2 linked regions of the Coturnix japonica genome follow. The protein of the gene in region 1 purifies or fractionates together with the protein of each later gene. This does not show direct contact. Links are inferred from orthologs where the notes say so. Each region holds a gene or a part of one and is shown on either strand. Other genes may lie near its edges.

Region 1 (5,031 bases):
CAGCATGTACTTGTCACACTTAGCTAGTGCCTTTTCACTTGCAGCTGCTACTGTGATGGCATGAGGGACATGTGGTTGCATGACTGTGTCAGTGGGCAGATTAGAAGGTGGCTTATGATCTACCCATCTCTCCCCAGCTGAGCGCGACCGTCTGTGCCTGAGACGAACTGGAGGCGCGTTCTGATCAGAGTGGAAAGAGAATCAGAAGAAATCAGCACACAGTAAGCTTCTCAAAGGATATCATTAGCAAAACTGATTTTCGCAGGTCTGGTTAAGATGTAATTATTTGAAGATCAAAGCTTTGTTCCTTTTAGAATCCACCTGAAACATACTGCTCCACAAGCCTTGCAAAAAATACTTAATGGATTATTTCTGTGCCAACTGTTTCCCACTAATTTGATGTGGTTTTATCCAATCAGTTGCACTCCCTGCATAGCAGGGTTTCCACAAGGAGAACATCTTTCTCTTTGGCAGCACTCTTCCCAGATTTCCCAGATCTGATTGCCATGAACATATTAACCGACCTGAAAAGATAAATTTGGAAGTGTTTCCACAGATGCTCTAATGGATCAAGATGTAATCTTGATGTAGCAAAGGGAACAGATTGAGTATGGATTTCCAGCACCTCTGGTAGAGACAAAGCCTCTGTTTACTCAGAAGTATTACGAGCAGAGAAAAAAAGTAGAGTGCCCTTTGCTAGCATTACTGCTTCCAAGTCCAGCTGCTGGAAATCCACACAAAGCAATGGAAGTTCATAGATTTTTAACTTATGCTCATGAACGTTGTCAGTTGCTCAGGTAAACCAGAAAATTGTTTAAAAACCTAAGTCCTTTCAAAATCCTTGAACAGGCATTTGAAAGAACACTGCAGGCTCTCTCTGTTCTATTTACTCACTAATGTACAGACCTCTGTAAATCGTAGTGATGTTAAATAACCCAAAGCTACAAACGCAGATTCCTCCACTCTGCTTTCAGGTGATGAGCAGCAATTGGGATTTCTCTCAGCAACAGCCATGAGACTAGCTGTGCCCTTCACAAGTAAAGCTCTTACTACAGCAGCTTCTAAAGATTAAATGAATACAGAGATTCGTGGCTTTCAAAGTTGTTTTACATGAACATTAGGAATAAGACACTCAAGAGTTCTCCTCTTTTTAGTGGAGTAGTGGGAAGTAACTCTGCCAGGGTGCCCTAGAAATCTACAAGTCCAAAGGAAGACATTACTACCAGTCACATTTTATTGTGGGAGAGAATGTGTCCCATAATCCGATGCTGGTGATTTGTGTTTTATTTAACTGGAACAGCATTTGCTTAAATCCCTTCCCATACTTCAGAATTCCTGTTACTTGCTAGCCCTTTGAAAACACTGCCCCAAAAATGAATCCCACCATGATAAGCTTCCCTCTTCTCGGGAAGGCCTCTCAAGAGCTCTGATCCTGGGAGTATGATGTAGTACAATACTCATGGCTTTACCTGAGCCACTGTGACAGTTACATCATGATAGAGACACCGCGGATACAAACATTTGCACACAGTAATTTGATGGAAAAGCATCTCTCAACTACAAGCAAAGCCCCCAGTTTTAATGCAGATGTGAAGATTTGGAAAGACTATTCTAGGAGAACAAAAGTTAACAGCTATTCAAGTGAGGAGTTTGCCTAAGCACTATTTCTAGCAGACATTTGCATGTGGCTGGCTCATAAGACCACCTTTTAAGCTGCCCAAAAAGGATTACAGCAAGTTGCAGGCTGTAAGATAGATTTGAGGAGACAGACACAAATTAAAACAAAAACATTTAGAGCTAGGAAAAAAAGAAAAGCCCATTTAGTTCAGAGCTCCTTTCCGCAGCTATTTACACACTAACCAGAAATGGAAGTGCTTTCTAAAGATTTTTAATGCCAAATTAAAGATTTAAAGAGTGAGACTCAACTTGGAAACCGCACTCCCCTACATTTAGGGGAAAATGCTAAAACCTCTTTTACACTCAGTGTAAGAGAGCAGTTGTGATGAACTTTTGAGCCAGACTACGTAACACTACATGCAGCTTTTGACAGGAGCAGCACTAACCCTGCAGCATTGATCCTCTTCTATTTCTAGCTCATCTCTACGCTTGGGAACCTCAGTGATTCCAGTCCAGCACATCCCTCGCCTTCTGTCTGAGGTGTTACAGTCTCTACTTTGTCCTGGTTCTTGTTGTCTAGTCCTTGTTTTAGAAATGCCACCGGTATGCTTGTGCGAAGGTGTTTTCTGCTCCCACTCCATAACACAGGAAGCCACAGAAATGCTGCTACAAGAATTTGAACGTCTGTGCACCTGCTGGTTGCTCACGAACTGCTGGCTGTTAGGAACCTGAGTAATAAAGTTACTAGAAGGCTAAAGAGAATGGGAAAGCAGTTAACAACACAGAACTATCAGCTCACAAGGCAATAAGACAGCGTCACTGCACATTGTCAATATTCAATGTAGCTACCGAAATTCATGGCTTCGGAGAGCAGTGACAGCACTAAGAATCAGACGATCTTCAACTTTGAAGGCATTAGGAAAGTAGGAGCACAAATAAAAAACACAGATACAAATACAAGAGGAGAAGGAGAATTCAAAAGCAGTTTAAACCCAAATTCTGTGCTTGGGAAACATTTTCTAGCCACTAGAGAAAAGAGCTTTGTATTTTATTTCATTTTTACAAGTACTCGTGTCCCTTTACCAAGTAGTGCACTAAAGGCAACTCACAGGTACTGGTGGTGGAGAGATTGACCTCTGAATAGGCTTCTCTCTGTCTCTCTCCCGTGAAGGCCTCTCTGGCTTTTCGCTCTTTGGTTCAGTAACAATGGCCTTCAGCTGCTTCAGTTTTTCATCTTTGACCCAAAGTTTGTTCTGCATTTCCAGCTGCTTTGCTGCTACACGACGCTCCTACAAAGACCAAGAGAAGAAAAGCTTTACAGACACAGAGTAATTGGGTTACAAGTTTGCAAATAATTCTATATTCTACATGGAAGGACATTCTTTCCCTCTGAGATACAAGCTGATGAAAGTAATGATGTAAACAAGCTAACAAAAAAGACTGCCAAGGTTATGTCTAACACCATAAATAATTTGCTTCCTAAATTATGAGGGTAAATCAGACCGTTGTCTAACTGTAGATCTAATGATAGCCCTGAAGAAGTAAACAGTCCTGTAGTAGAGCAAATTAATTCCTCAGATTTTCTTTCCTTATTGCTCATGAAGGGCATATCTGAACAAGAGTTTACATGAGGATAATGGGGAAAGCCTGATATTAGGCTTCTCCTGACAGCTGCCAGAACAAAAGAATCACTCCTCAGAGAGCCATAAACCCAAAAGAACAAGTTCCAGATACCAAAACAAAGTGCACAAGAGAGCTGCTCTAGTTGCATCATGGGCCATTGAGGAATTCATCCCATCATACAACATTTATATAAGAAGAAAATATCTGTTCAAGTCCCCAGTTAAAATCCAAATGTATCTTCACTCTTAATAGTATTAAGAAAAAAAAAGAAAAACCTTAAAAAACAAGCAAGCTCCCCAACTCCCTCCAGCATTATTCCCTTAGACAGCTCTCATACGTAGGGCAGTATACTCACACACTCCTTCTCCCACTTCATGGTTGTTTCAGCAACCATGCCTTGCAGCCGTGCCTCCAACCTACGCTTGTCAGAAGCCTGACGTTGCAGTTTCTGGCTCTGGCTTTCAAGTTCTTGCTGAAGGTGACGCTTATCTTCTTCATAAATAGTAGCAGTTTTCTCTAAAATCTCAATCTGGAGGAAGAGAGGAAGATCTTTGTTATGGCCCCAGGCAACACAACCATCTAAGCCCAGAAGCACAAGTGATGTTTGCTTGTGCTAGAATACATTTGTTATCCGTTAGAAAACTAACCTTGTATTCCAAAGTTTTAATTTTCTTCTCCATCCGTTCTAACTCCGTTTTCTGTCCTGTTATTATTTTCTCTTTTTCAGACAATTTTCCTTGCACATAGTTTTCTTTGGACATAATGCTGGAATCAAGTTCTCGCAGTATAGTTTTAAATGTAAGCGCTGCAAGAGAGTCAACATACTTTACTTTCTCATCCTGTCTCCTATTAACTTGATACTACCAGCTACTTCAATTACCTCAATGAGAGGGTTTTTAAACCATCAACCTAAACAAGATCATTGTTCCTCATTAGTACATAAGAAATGTTTGAATAGCAACGAGGGCACCAAAAATCGAGCTCTATGTCAGTGCTCAAATTCTTACCATTTTTGGCAAACTCCTCTGACAACTTTTGTCGTAGTTTATGGCGTTCTTCCAGGACTTCAGCAAGCTTTGGAAGTGTTTGATCGTCATTAATGTCTAATAGCTCACATGAAGGCAGGGGAGGAAAGCTCGGCAATAATATTTCTAAAGCAGATTGCTCTTCTGTTTCTGTAAGATTTAAAGCCAAGGAAGTCTGTCAGCAAGCTAGAGAACAAAGTTCTCATATGACAGTGCACAGCCACAGATCATTCCACAGAATTACGAAGGAGACAGAATGTAGAATTATTAAGGAGAGCTACATGTTTTCAGAATAGATGACAGTATTGAGAACAGATTAAATGTGACATTTTTGATTCATTCCTTACAATACCTCCAGGCAAGTCCTAATTTCTAAAGCAAACCCAGAGCATACAAGAGCGAAGTATTATCTTCAGCACAGTCTCTTTTCCAGAGCTGCAGTAATGGGACCCTGAATTCAGCTCATCATCAACAACAAAGAATTACTTTGAGAATTGTAGTGTAAGCCCAATTACTGTGTAAGCAATAGCACAGCATAAAAAGAGCAGTTCAGGTGCACCTACTACAGAGAAAGCTCACCACTAACAGTTAAACGCGTGTGCTGTGAACACTCAGCATTCTCCTGTTTACCTCCATTAATTGGGCCGCCTCGAATCTCCAGTTTCCGTGCCAGCTCCTCTCTGAAGGCCTGATTCCTGAAGCGCCGTCCTGGTGTTAAACCACACAGTGGTCTGTCGACAGGCCTTGCAACCTCCACCTCCTGAGT
Region 2 (5,458 bases), on another chromosome or scaffold:
ATACACACACAGAGGGTGGTGATGCACTGGAACAGGTTGCCCAAGGAGGCTGTGGATGCCCCCATCCCTGCAGGCATTCAAGGCCAGGCTGGATGTGGCTATGGGCAGCCTGGTCTGGTGGTTGGCAACCCTGCACATAGCATGAGGTTCAAAATATATGATCTTTGAGGTCCTTTTCAACCCAGGCCATTCTATGATTCTTCTTGCCTGCAAACCTACCGTCTTTGATACGAAGTCATGCAGCCTCACTCCCCCGTTGCTCTGTGGGGTGACAGAACCATTGCTCTCTGATTTGGATTCCACCTGCTTAAAGCCTAAGCTTGTCTCACTGCTCCAAGGCTGCAAAGGACCTAGAAAACAGAAGAGGAGCATTGTCTAGATGGGAACCGTACCCTAGTGCATTCCGTGCTCCAGACAACATGCACTACAAATCAGAGGCAGCAGCTTAAGTGGTGGAGCATAGGAAATTACAATGACAGGACACCCTCCAGCCTGCTAAGCACTGATTTAGGACAACAAGCTGACACCTACCACTCTTTCTCTGGCTTCTCAGGCTGTAGGGCACAGTCTGAATGGTAGAGATGGCTTCAATAGGACCACCATCACTGGGAACCATGAAAGTCGTCTTTGCCACTATGGATTCATTTCCCTGTAGCAAGAAGTGTGTTGTTGGTGACAGCAATGCTGACAGGACAAGGATTTAAGTCTGTTGGCCCTGGAAGCAGGTGTGCACTGTGGCCAACTGCTTTAAACACACACACAGCCAGCTGGGATCACTATACCTGGTCTGCTGTGGAGCCAATTGATCTGATTTTCTTCTCAGGAGCTGGTGGGCCTTCAGCATGCTGCCTGGAAGAGCGCTGAAAAGACACAGTATTTTAGTCTAAAAGGCAGGTAATACTATTAACTTAGTGATGTATTTTAACCACTCTCTTGCAGACTCAAGTTCATAACAAGATACCTGAAACTCCACTCATTATGCCCTGTGGAAAAACAGTATCAGAAATAACTTTCACACCAAATCTACACAGCAAGTCTGAATCACATCCATCAAGGTTTTGTGACTAGCACCTACCCATCACAGGTGACACCAGTTAATGCTAACAACAGTATCTATGTGAAGGGAAAGAATTGAACATACCCTCTTCTCTCTCCTCTTCAGTCTGACAGTTTTCACTGCAGAGGAATCCCAGTCCTGTGGAAAACATGCAGCACTGGTTAGCTCAGCGTAAACACCACACCACCTCTGGTCCACACCTCCATTACGTTTTACCCAATAGCACAGCAGAGATATGCAGATCAGCTCTACCAATTTAATACCACAGTAATCTAAACACAAGAGGTCTCTAGAGATTACCCCGCAGGTTTAAGATTTCATAGTTTAGAACTTGGAATTACATTACCAGTGAATCATCAGTCTTGTCAAAGCTGATGTCTGACAGAATTGAGCCAGATTCATCTATTGTAGACAGTCTAAAAACCAAGAATTAGAAGAAGCATGCATCAGTTTGGCTTTCAGGCAGCTGTGGTCCCAAAGCAACCTTAGGCAAAAGAGCTCTATTTCAAACTGGAATAAAAGTAAAACTGTTGATATGGATGCAACATGTATCTCAGACACACGCAGGCAGACCAGTAGCTGTCACTTATGCTGTTCAGACAAAACCATTCTGCCTACCTCTTGTTGCCTGAACCTCCTACAGAAACCTGTGGTTTGTTAAGGAAGGCAAGGGCAGACTTCTGTTCTTCACTTAGCTGAATGCTCCCAGATGCATCACACATGAGCAGCTCTCGAATCAGTTGTATTTGCCTCTCCTGAAAAGAAAGATAATATCAGAAGCCGTTTAATTACATGAACCAATCTCAGGTATTTGAGATACCACACAGATAGGCTCTCACAAATTGCTAAGAGCAAGTCCAGCACTCAAGCTGCTGATATCTGCAAAGCCCAGGCTCTGAAACAGCAGCCCTTCGCCTTCCAGACAAAAGCAGAAGGCCATTACAAGGAGCCAGATCAACCCATCACTGACTTGTTTTTATTCCCCCTATTGTTTCCACACCCCCCCCCCCCCGGTTAATTGCAGTTTAACCACCTTCTCTCCACATCAACTAGAGCTAACCAGTAATAAAAGAAACACTCACCAGCCTGTCACAGTCTGCTTCAGCTTTTTGCCTGCGTTTGATCTCTACATCCACTTGATTGCGCGCATGTTTCAGCTTCACGTCCAAAGCACTACGTTCAGCTTCACTTTTCATCAGCAGGTCTTTGTATCTTCCAAGCTCCTGCTCAGTTTTCTGCCACTTCCTTCGATAGTCTTCAAAGTTCTTCGCCAGCTGAATAAATTCTGGAGAAAAGATACATCACTCAGATTAAGAGAGGAGATGCAACAGCTCTCCTATAATTGAGGGCAGACTTCTAATAATTAATTAATTAAAATCTCTATTAATTGAAACATGGAGAAGCTGGCCTTGCAGCAAACCCCACTACACTCTGGATGTTCCCAAGATGTCACCACCTTTGCAGACCAAGTCTCAGCAGCAGCATCAAGCAGCAGATACCTCATGTGAGACCCTGACAAAGGCAACTTGCTTTCACCCTATGACTCCCTATTTCTCAACAACAGGAAAAAGAAACAACCTTCAAATCTGGCTGCCTGGAAGAGTGTTATTACTCAAGACCTCATCAACAGATCCTTCAATAACAGCTAGCAATGCTTGCTGCAAGAATATAAACACACAGATGCTGCTTGATGTCTCAAAACTTACGGCATTCATTCCCCTCGCTTAAAACTTCAGCCTGGCGTATGAGTTGGTCACACAAATTCCACAGGTTCCTCATTGTGGTATCCATCCTCCTGCCAAGAAAACAGAACTAAATCAACACCTCCAAATGAAAAATGCATTACCAGCCCCAAAAAAGAGAGAATTTGCTTCAGAATTCTCTTTTCTTTAGGCAAGATGTAGCAGCTGCACACACACAAAAAAAAGATGTTAGGCTTTATGAAGAGATGTGCATCTAAATTCTTAGGGGGCAAAGGCACTCAGCCCTCCAGAATTTAGTATTAGAGCAGCACAGCTTCCCAAACAGCCTCCAGTTTACTACAGAGGAGGGATCACAAACCATTTTCCTTCTGCCAGGCTGCAGGACGTGGCTCGGGCCCACTCCGGTGCTATATAGGCCACCAGAAATCTGTAAGCATTCAGAGCAACACGAGGTAAAAATAGAAGCAGCATTCAGGGGGAATTTCAATGCCGTTTTATATTTAGCTCCACTTTAAGTTACAGCTCCTGCTGCAAACGGCCTTGGAAATGCAGGCAGTCAGCACAAATCCCTCAAACAGCGAAAACAACGGCATAAACAGGAGCAGCCAAGAGGAAAGCCTCGAGCTCAGCAGCACAGAACGCAGTTCTTTAATACAGAAGGGGGCACTCAGGACAGGCTTGGTTAATGAATGAGCTCCAGGTGAAGGGGCGGCTGTGAAGGATGGCTGGGAGTGGCACCAGGAGGGGCACAACGCCCTGTTACAATGCTTGGTTATAACCCCACACACATTGGGGTTTTCTGCATGGAAAAGCAAAGCTCTGAGGACACTCCATAGCCCTGTGTCTCACTCCCCAGCACCTCAATACACCCACAGCTCCATATGGAGCCCTCACAGCCTCTTCATAGGGCACAACGGGTGGGACAGCCCTGAGGTAACAGGCCTCGGGCCTGCCCTGAGGTAACAGGCCTCGGGCCTGCCCTGAGGTAACAGGCCTCGGGCCTGCCCTGAGGTAACAGGCCTCGGGCCTACCCCGCGCCACACACACCGGGAGGCTGCCCGGCAATAGGGCCCCACCGAGCCTCCTCAGCTCAAGATCAGGGCCCTGCAGACCACCTCCCTCAGCCCAGGACCCTGCTGATGCCCCCCAATCCCATATCGAAGCCCCTTAGACCCCTCCCCAACCCGGCTTCCCCCCGCGCACTCACCCGCTCCGAGCTCCCACTCCAACAGCCGGCTTCAACTGCCCCGCGATTCGGTTTGAATCCCTGCCGCCGGCCAATCACAGGGCGCTCTCCACCCTTCTGGTTTCTGATTGGTTCTGCTCGCCGTGTGTCTGAAGCCAAATTGGCGCCATGTCTGCTAAGGGCAAAGCTTTTTCCCTTCCTCTGATTTCCGGGTTTGACAGATGGTGAAGTCGGCTAGGCGCCATGTTTACTATTGGCAGTTGCTTCCAGCCCTTGTTGCTTAGCAACAGAGCAGGCAGGGATGGCGGTGGGGCCTGGACCCCCAACCCAAGGGCTGCTCCTTCTGCATTAACCCTGAACGCAGCCATTGGCAGCACAGGGGTATTTTGGGGGAAGAAATGCTATTCTCAGGCCAAGCCCTGGCTGTAACTGTGCTAAACCAATGACACAAAGCATGGCAGGGTTCCGAGTCCCCTGTGCATTGGTGACATCAGGCATTCAATGTGCCCCAAAGCTATTTCAGATAACAAAAGCTTTCCAGAAGGCCTTTGGTTCAGTGTTGTCCCTTGAGAAGAATGATGCCGTGGCCTTTTGTCTTCTATTTGAGCCAACAGACCCACAAGCCAAAAGGCAAAGCCTCATTTCATTCCTCCTCCCATTTGCAAGCCTTTAATACAACTAAAAACACAAACCAAAACCCAACGATTTACAAGAAAGCGGAATCACGCAATGGCAATAAAACAGCAATGCACTTTAATCTTTGAAATCTGAAACAAAACCAGCGGGTAATTGGAGAATGGATATTAGCAATTAGAAAGCGGAACTAAATGCTGGAAATTACTAAGTGGGAAAAGGGAGTTCATAAAAGCAGATTGCACTCAAAGATCCAGATGCTTCGTCAGGACTGTGTTATTTGGGCTATATAGTCTGCTTTAACTTCATAATTAATTCATGATGGGTTGCAAAAAAGCCTTGAGGTTCCCTGAAGAGTAAACATCAAGGAGGTACCTAGAGGAGAAGTGGTCAGAATTATCCGTGTTTACGGAAGAAATGAGGCCTGGAGGAGAAATGCCTCATCCTCTGTGCCAACAGCAAAGCAAAACGAAGATGCCAACCTTGATATTTGACCTTGTGACACGCACAAAAATCATCCAAAACCCCAATTTTGCTCCAGTCTGGAAAAGAAGACCAGACTTGGTCCCGTTGGAGCCTCTGGTGCACCCCCAAAGCATTTTGTACCCCCATTTCTGGGGAGATTTAGTGATTTCAGCAGCAGCCCTGGGGCCTCCTGCAGCTCTTGCTTGCAATTAAATCTTCTAAGCTAAGACATCTCTGTTGGCAGATCGTATTTATAGGTAGGCGAGTTGTTTTAGTGTCATTCTGAAGAGTTGAAGAGGCTTTTGCTCATAAGCAAATTCTCCCTTTTTACAGTAGCCTGATACAGGCTGGCTTGTTTAGCAATAGAGATCAGTGCGTTAACTTAAGGACCAATATATTCGTTTAGCAAAAGGA

Evidence for each region.
Region 2: the proteins of KIF23 (region 1) and RACGAP1 purify together in Homo sapiens (co-immunoprecipitation; 10 studies listed by BioGRID and IntAct, counting the BioPlex papers as one, with this or other methods). This does not show direct contact. The link is inferred for Coturnix japonica from reciprocal best matches to the Homo sapiens genes KIF23 and RACGAP1.

Annotation. Positions count from the first base shown.
Region 1 is NC_029525.1:17,549,609-17,554,639, reverse strand, and holds part of KIF23 (kinesin-like protein KIF23), read right to left. Parts: coding exon 4,896-5,031; intron 4,416-4,895; coding exon 4,248-4,415; intron 4,046-4,247; coding exon 3,888-4,045; intron 3,770-3,887; coding exon 3,596-3,769; intron 2,907-3,595; coding exon 2,727-2,906; intron 2,370-2,726; coding exon 2,064-2,369; intron 181-2,063; coding exon 1-180.
Region 2 is NC_029544.1:382,755-388,212, reverse strand, and holds the start of RACGAP1 (rac GTPase-activating protein 1), read right to left. Parts: upstream 3,215-5,458; 5' UTR 3,119-3,214; intron 2,853-3,118; 5' UTR 2,849-2,852; coding exon 2,764-2,848; intron 2,343-2,763; coding exon 2,140-2,342; intron 1,813-2,139; coding exon 1,676-1,812; intron 1,474-1,675; coding exon 1,404-1,473; intron 1,196-1,403; coding exon 1,142-1,195; intron 861-1,141; coding exon 783-860; intron 650-782; coding exon 532-649; intron 351-531; coding exon 220-350; intron 1-219.